Linked DNA regions of Nothobranchius furzeri. The protein of the gene in region 1 interacts with the protein of each later gene in a biochemical or structural test. Links are inferred from orthologs where the notes say so. Each region holds a gene or a part of one and is shown in the gene's direction. Other genes may lie near its edges.

Region 1 (3,647 bases):
TGACTCCTACATGCACTAGGCTGCTGCAGATTATAAATATTATTCATTTAGCTGGGGGGGGGGGGGTTAAAAGTGTGTAATCCCAATGTGAAAATGTTTTATTTCAAACAGGAACGTCACATTTTTTGGGAGGTATTTTCTTCATTTCCTCATTTTTGTTTTAGACATTTGCAAGAAAAGTGTGAAAAATCAGAAAGTGAAAAAACGTTAACTGTGATTGTTAAATATTTGACTTGTGCAAGAAAAAAAGGCAAAAATGTCTGACTCGTGTATTTACAAGAAGAAACCCAACTTCTAAGTATAAAGCTCTGGAGGGGAATCAAAATGTTTTTATTACAAAACTTTTGTTTTTTTAATTGTCAGATTTTTTTTTTAGGAATTCCCCAACAAACAAACAACAAGCTGTCTAACGCTGACGCTGAAGCGTGGCTCCCTGCGTGTCCGCAGTGCTGATCTGTAGTTTGGAGCCTTGCTAAAGATTTCATAAATGATTGACGTGCAGCTCAAGGCTTTGGAAGTCTGTGCTGTTTGAACGGACCTGAAAGGGAAATGTTCGGAGTGTTTTATGTGGGACAGGCGTGCTGTATAAAGGTTGTTGAGGTAAAACTAGACTTACGTCATCAAAGTCAAACACGACTTGTTAGATTTATGTTTTCACTCGAGACAGTGAGCAAGAAAGGGTTCACTAAATTGGCCTTTGGGAAGTTTGATGTGTTTTCTGTACACACAGCTTTTACCATGCGGGCTTTCAAATGTTACCTTTGTTTGGTCTCGATTGAGCTGTTTTTGGATACATTAAAAAAAAAAAAGTTTTTCTTTTTTATTTAGATGAAATGGTGGAGACAAAGTCTGGAACTGCTACCCCGCTCCGCTCTGGCTCTGTGAGCAACTACCGCACCACCACTAAGAACGATGTCGATGGGGCGGACGTTTCAGCCACGTCTAGCACTGTGCAGCCCACCAAGACCGCCGAAGGGTCCTTAGGGTCATCCTCGACCTCGTCCATCGACTCGACGGGGGGAGGGGAGAACACCCCTCGACCAGGAAGCCACACCATCGAGTTCTTTGAAATGTGCGCGAATCTTATTAAACTACTTGCACGATAGCTTGCAAAAACAATCATCGCTAGCCTTTTCTTCTCTGAGTGTCTTTATAGCAATAAGCATGGAACAGATTCATGGCTTACTTCATCCCAACTGAGGATGAGGTGATTGTTCCGTGGCGCTCATGCAGGTTGGTGTTCTCTGTGCAGAGGGGAAACATACAGAGCTGACTGGGTCTCTAGGAGTTGTTGAGATTACGCTACCCAGCTAGCTAGAGCAGGAAACAACATTTCGGGGAGGGGGAGGTCTTTAAATTTCTCAATCTGTTTAAAAGCAGATATCAACATCCCAACTTACAAATTACGCAGAAGTGATTACACTGAACGTTCTGTGCTGTAGCCTGCAAGGCCTGCTTTTCAGTACAGAGAACAAGATCACTTTTTTTATTTTTTACCTGCTGCGGGGAGGGGGCGGAGCCACAGTTTGAGGATTGAGTGATGTTCATAGGATGCAGGAAGCACTTTTGCACAAGTTTCTGTAATTTTCTGCTGCTTTGTTATTTTTTATTACCTTTTTTCCTCAGTAGGGATCAGAGAAGCGGTGCCGACGTCCCAGAGCGCCGCAGCGTTTCATTCCCATCACATCACATTAGTGCAGTGGCCTCTGTGGTTCTGGTACGTGTCAGGGACTTAAGAATGCTCCATGTTGGGTTTTATTTTGTTAAATGTCAAAGACTAAATGTTCATGGTTCTGTCCTCGTTGTGACCGATTGTCCAGCTCCGACTTATATTTTTTTTTATAAATAAATACCTGAAAATATTTATCAATGCATTAAGTGGATGGAGTTTTGGTTCCAATGACTTGTTTTTTCTTTCATTACGCTCTAATGCTGGATGTTTAAATATATACTCATTTTTAGCTGTTTTTAATTCAGTGTCACACCTTTGTTTCCCTCAATCACAATTATTCAGATACTTGATTGTCTTTCTAGAGAACTAGTCTGCTTTTTAGAAGGTGTTTTGCAACGACGGTCAACGTCTAGAAATATATCATTATCAGTTTATTACAGTGACAAGTTGATTATGATTTTTTTCTTTTCTTTTGGATTATGGAGTATGATTACTGGATGGGATGTCTTTTGCTTACATTCATTTGATGAAATGCCAATCAGTCACGTGTGTTCAGGCCTCTGTGCTCAATTTTAAACGAGCAGCAATTAAATGCAGTGCGTCAACGGCGTCCGTCAACATCATTTATGTTTCGCTCACACATTCCTTTAAAGGTTGCACATCGTTTGTTTAAACCTGAACCAGATCATTGCTGGTACTGTAAATGGTGAGAAAGATGAAGAATAAAAGCGAGCTAGTAAACGTGTGGCACAGAACAAAATAAGTAAAAGAATTTGCAAGGTAAGAGTCTTGGATATGTATGATCTTGTTCCATTTCCTGTCTAGTCTTAAAGGTTTTCACTGGTGTCCATTTGGCTGCCTTATTATTCGTACTGTTTATCAGTTTTTATGTCAGGTTTGAGCCCTTTGCTGGCCTGAATTATTGGTAACCTCTGCAATTTTAAAGGTTGAAGTTCATATTTTATATTTTCAGCCTCAGCTCACCAAGTTAAGTCCGATATTCTAGAGATGTTTTGGATTTTACTGCATAATCTACACATGGGATCATGTTGCCAAAATAGCTGTAATTCATCTCTGCCTGTAAAGATGATGGTTGGAATTTAAGAAAAACTGAAGTAGATGTAAAATTGATTTCTAATTTTGTAAATTAAAGTAACTTATTTTTTTGGAGAAGTTCTCATTTCTACCAAAAAAAATTCCTAAAAGTTAGATATTTGTTTAAAACTTGTCAGCGTTTGGATTTTTCCAGTTTCGGCTCTACAGATCTTTGAAATCCAGGATGAATGTATCTACACATTTTTAGATATTTAATGATTCTCCTTCAAAAATTGCTAAGAGTGACGATAATTGTGATCATATTTTCTTGTACTGTATGGCAGGTATGGCAAAAATGTTTAGTTTGTCTTTATCTCAGTTTTAAGCCAGAGTTAATAAAAAAAGAATCCATTTGAAGACGAAAACTTTATGGTCTTGCAGACGCGTTGTAAAATTTTAACACTCACGTTAGTTTTAGAGGGCAGTTGCAAGCATTGACCAAAACTTGCCATGCCTTATATGATGGGTTTTGTTGAAAACAGGTGAATGTGTGCAAAAAATACAAATTTTTGCCAGCTTTTAGAAAATGAAGTGTCCTAAAAGGCTGTTCGGTTCAGTGTCTGATAGAACAGCTTCATATAGTTTTAAAAAAGCTCTATTTTTGTTTGGAGTGAGAATGGACCCTATCGGATTGATCAGTGTAAATCTGAATGAAAGTGTTGAATCATTTGTATACGCAACTGCCTAATAAATGCTAATAAATTGCACACTGCTGTCTTTGAATCTTTTTCATGATTACATTTTGATTTATTAGTAATGCAAAATTGTATTAGTGTTATTTTTGAGCAGAATAACACTTGAAAGTCAGTGTAAAAAGTAGTTTTATTACATTTGCACATTTTCATACTAGTTTTTTTACATACATTTTTATAGGATCTTT
Region 2 (4,192 bases), on another chromosome or scaffold:
CTAGGATGATCAAGTCTTACAGTGAGAGGAGGCTTACCATACAATTTTTTTCTAAGCACACAACACTGTTACCAATATTCTCACTTCAGCCTAATGTAACAGTGTTGAAATAGTGTAGCTGTGCAGTAGTTTACATATAGAAATATCAGATTATTCATAAAACATACCAGTAGAAAGCCTGGAAATTGAAGGATTCCAAATGTTGTTCAACATGTGAGATAAAACATTAATTATTTTGTAGCGTGGCATCATTGTCTTGTCTGTAATTGGCCTTTTTTTATTAGGTTATATGTTTTTATGGTTGTTTTATATTGTCTTATTTGTACTTGTTGCCTGCTGTATTGTCCAGCACCTTGGGTGTTTGATGAGATTGTGGAAGGGACATTACAATCTTCTGTGCATTCATTCTGGGTCTTTTTAACTTGTATTTTTTTTTTGGTTCTCTTTTAAACACAGGAAAGAAAAGTTTTCTTCTCTGTGTTTAAAAAAGAACCAATAAATAAATAAATAAATAAATACAAGAGACTTTACAAATAAAGTGAAATGAAATGAAAATTCAAATTTTAAAGATTGTTTGTTAATCAGTACACAAGTATAGAGCAGGCATGTATGTGGCCCTCATTTGTCGCCCTTGGAGCAATTTATGTCACTGTCGTCCCCCCCCCCCCCCCCCCCAACATTGTATGTTCAAACTTAATAGTCCATTTTGACAAATTTTAGGGAGTACAAATGCAAGAATAAATATTTTTAGCATTTAAAAAATGTATATGTTGTGGCCTACAAGGACAGTTAACTTGCTGATTTTGGCTCTTATCTAGGAAAGTTTGGACATCCCTGGTATAAAATATATCAAGGCGTCAACTTTAAAGCCGCCTTTCACATGAAAAGAAACAAATATTATGGGATTAAAGCTCGTGTGTGTGTGTGTGTGTGTGTGTGTGTGTGTGTGTGTGTGTGTGTGTGTGTGTGTGTGTGTGTGTGTGTGTGTGTGTGTGTAACATAAAGTATAAAAAATACGGACGTTTGTAAAATATAGAATATTCTAAAATCAGAAAATTTGTGTCCATCACAGACATTTTATTTTACTGGTGCTATGTTTCGTAAGAGCTTAATTTCCTTTATTCATTCAGACAGAAACATATCAGGGATGTGCACAGCTGTTACCAATAACCAAATCAGTGTGTATTACTTATATATAATGGTGATGTGTTGTAAGTGAAATGTTTTATCATGTTTCTAAACAGTCCCCTTCAGTCTTTTCTTGTAGCACACTTGGATGACTTGGGGAAAAAAACATATCCCAGAATGCTCTGCGAGCCCTTCACCCCTCTTAGTTTTTGCATCCGGGTCTGTACTTCCTTTTCCTCCGTGCCTAGATGCGATGAGGACCTAGGTTTTTACGAACCTGAGAAATATCCGAATCCATCCTTGTAAAAGGCACCACCGAACCTCGTCAAAATGACCGAGCAGATGACAGTGAGGGGGACCCTGAAGGGCCACAGTGGATGGGTCACCCAGATCGCCACTACCCCTCAGTATCCCGACATGATTCTGTCGGCGTCCCGAGGTGAGGCTTCCCCCGCCGGCAGCCGCCAACATGGCTACAGCTAGCTTTGTAAGCTAGCAGTGACTCTTTGGTAATGTTACAAAAATACGATTTTTGCGGAAGTGGCAGAAGACCGCTGAAATGTGATTACAACAGCCTAAAGGCTCATTAATCGCTTATAGTGAACATTTGCGACTTCAGAAGTGGAGGAAACCTGGTGTAGTTAAACTTGTGCTTTCTAGCGTCATTAGCTGGATCTACTGTGTTTCACTCCTGGGTTTACACCAACATAGCACCGACACTGATTCATCCAGTTAAACATCAGACTACTTGACATGAGGTTATAAGGCCTTGAACCAAGCGCTGCAATGTGATATTAACTTGATATTAACTTAAGTGCTAGCTTCGCATGCTAATGCTACCTACCTGCTCTTTGCTTTAGGCAATACTCCTGAGTCCTGAACCTTATGTGTTAAACTTTCAGACAAGTCCATCATCATGTGGAAGCTGACTCGTGACGAGACCAACTATGGGATCCCTCAGCGCTCTCTGAGGGGCCACTCTCACTTTGTAAGTGATGTTGTCATCTCCTCGGATGGACAGTTTGCTCTCTCAGGCGCCTGGGACGGCTCCCTCCGACTGTGGGACCTCACCACGTAAGTACAGCTAGGAAGAAAGCTTCTACATCAGATCCGCTGTCCTGTAAATATATCTCTTTACCCGTTTACCTGCTCCCAACATATTTAAATGTGTGAGAGCATCTAGAGAAGTCAACTTAGGAAGGTTGTGATGAAATCAGTTAATCTGGGTCCTTTAGAGCAGGAAACGTGTGGAACTTGCAGGATGGTACCCCTCAAGGAAAAAAGTTGCTGACCCTTGATCTGCATCATCTAAGCATCTATGTGGAACACAGTTTAAACTAGTTAATGCTTTTCTTTTTAGAAATAAGTAAGTTGGTAAAGACTTGCATGTTTGTATTAGCTGGAAGTATGTCCTTTCTAAATTTAAGTTGTAACAAACATCCTGGATAGTTTTAAAGATATGATTTGTCACCTTTGTTCTATAAATGAAAATGTGTTTGAACCGATGTTAACACACAGTCCGCGCTAATGCGTATTTGTTACTAGAGCTACAAACATTTCAGCACTTATGACCTCTAAATACCAAGTTGCCAGGGAACATAACTTAAGCCATAAAACAGTTGGGAAATGACATCTAGTTAAGCTACACCATGTGTAAACCCAATCTTGGTGAACAAACTTCATTTGCGTGTACATGACCGTGCAACAGCTTTTTATACTAGTGTTTTGTACCACAGATAGAACTTCAGTAATCTCGCACTAAATAATAAACAGCAGACATTTAAAAATGCAGTTATATACAATTACAATGTTTGTCAGAGATCCTATAAAATAAATTCTCCCAGTTTCTTGTACCCGACACTGTTGTTCCACAGTGTTATTGTCCTTACTACACCTTCATCACTTTATACACTCCTTAGTTGTGACTTAAGAGAACAGTAGATCTAAATAAATGGGTTTGGGGTTTATACAGGAATAAAACTACAGTCCATGTTTGAACAGTTTTAATCATCTAAGTGAGGAGCTGGAATTTGATTCTGGCTAAAGTGCTGGAACCCGATATAAACTGAACCTAAAAAAAATTGTCATTGATCGGCATTAAGGTTTGTGTACTAAAGTGATTTGTTTGAATACAAGTGGGGAAAAAAACTGTTTTAACTCCTTAAATGACTGTAGCTTGTAGAGGCCATAATTAGTAGAGGAGGGCAGGCATTTTAAACTGTAAACTTAATATAGCTTTATTCTAATCGGACGTCTTAATCTTGTGTTTTTCTAGTGGCACCACCACCCGTCAGTTTGTTGGACACACAAAGGATGTTTTGAGTGTGGCTTTCTCTGCTGATAACCGTCAGATTGTATCTGGCTCCCGAGACAAGACCATCAAGCTGTGGAACACTCTTGGAGTCTGCAAGTACACCATTCAGGTGAGCTGTCACTTAATGCTGCTGCTGCTGCTGCTTAGAGCTGTTCCTTCTTTGGTTTTCATTTAGTTTTTGTTCAAGCTTTTTTTTTTTTTTTTAACTAGTTTTACATTTTCTGAGGTAGAGCACACAGCTCAGCCATCAGCTGGAGCATTGTGGACTAAATCTGTATGATGGTTTTAAGTGTGTAGTGTGTCAGGATCATGGAATAAGTCTCGGTGGTTACATGAGCTAAAGTGAGCCATTGTTGGGATGAGCTGAACTTTAAACTGTTCAAACTTGATTTTGCAGGATGAAGGCCATTCTGAGTGGGTGTCTTGTGTTCGCTTCTCCCCCAACAGCAGCAACCCCATCATTGTCTCCTGTGGCTGGGACAAGGTGGTCAAGGTATGGTTTACTAGTAATTTGCTAATGTTTGGTCCTGGTTAGATGGTTTAACTTAGTTTGCATTTATTAGCTGACTACTTGCGTAAGACAACCTTTTTTATGATTAGCTTCCATGTTGGATGTTGATGTTTGTTCTGTCTCGGGTGTGATGCCTCTCAGGTGTGGAACCTGGCCAACTGCAAGCTGAAGACCAACCACATTGGTCACACTGGCTATTTGAACACAGTGACCGTCTCCCCTGATGGCTCTCTGTGTGC

The links.
Region 2: of the proteins of prkaa1 (region 1) and rack1, one has a biochemical effect on the other in vitro, tested with the Homo sapiens proteins (2 studies listed by BioGRID). The link is inferred for Nothobranchius furzeri from reciprocal best matches to the Homo sapiens genes PRKAA1 and RACK1.

What each region holds. Positions count from the first base shown.
Region 1 is NC_091746.1:66,863,069-66,866,715, reverse strand, and holds the end of prkaa1 (5'-AMP-activated protein kinase catalytic subunit alpha-1), read left to right. Parts: intron 1-828; coding exon 829-1,106; 3' UTR 1,107-3,474; downstream 3,475-3,647. UniProt on the Homo sapiens protein: Catalytic subunit of AMP-activated protein kinase (AMPK), an energy sensor protein kinase that plays a key role in regulating cellular energy metabolism.
Region 2 is NC_091741.1:97,232,452-97,236,643, reverse strand, and holds the start of rack1 (small ribosomal subunit protein RACK1), read left to right. Parts: upstream 1-1,346; 5' UTR 1,347-1,458; coding exon 1,459-1,567; intron 1,568-2,030; coding exon 2,031-2,202; intron 2,203-3,403; coding exon 3,404-3,551; intron 3,552-3,839; coding exon 3,840-3,935; intron 3,936-4,094; coding exon 4,095-4,192. UniProt on the Homo sapiens protein: Scaffolding protein involved in the recruitment, assembly and/or regulation of a variety of signaling molecules. Interacts with a wide variety of proteins and plays a role in many cellular processes.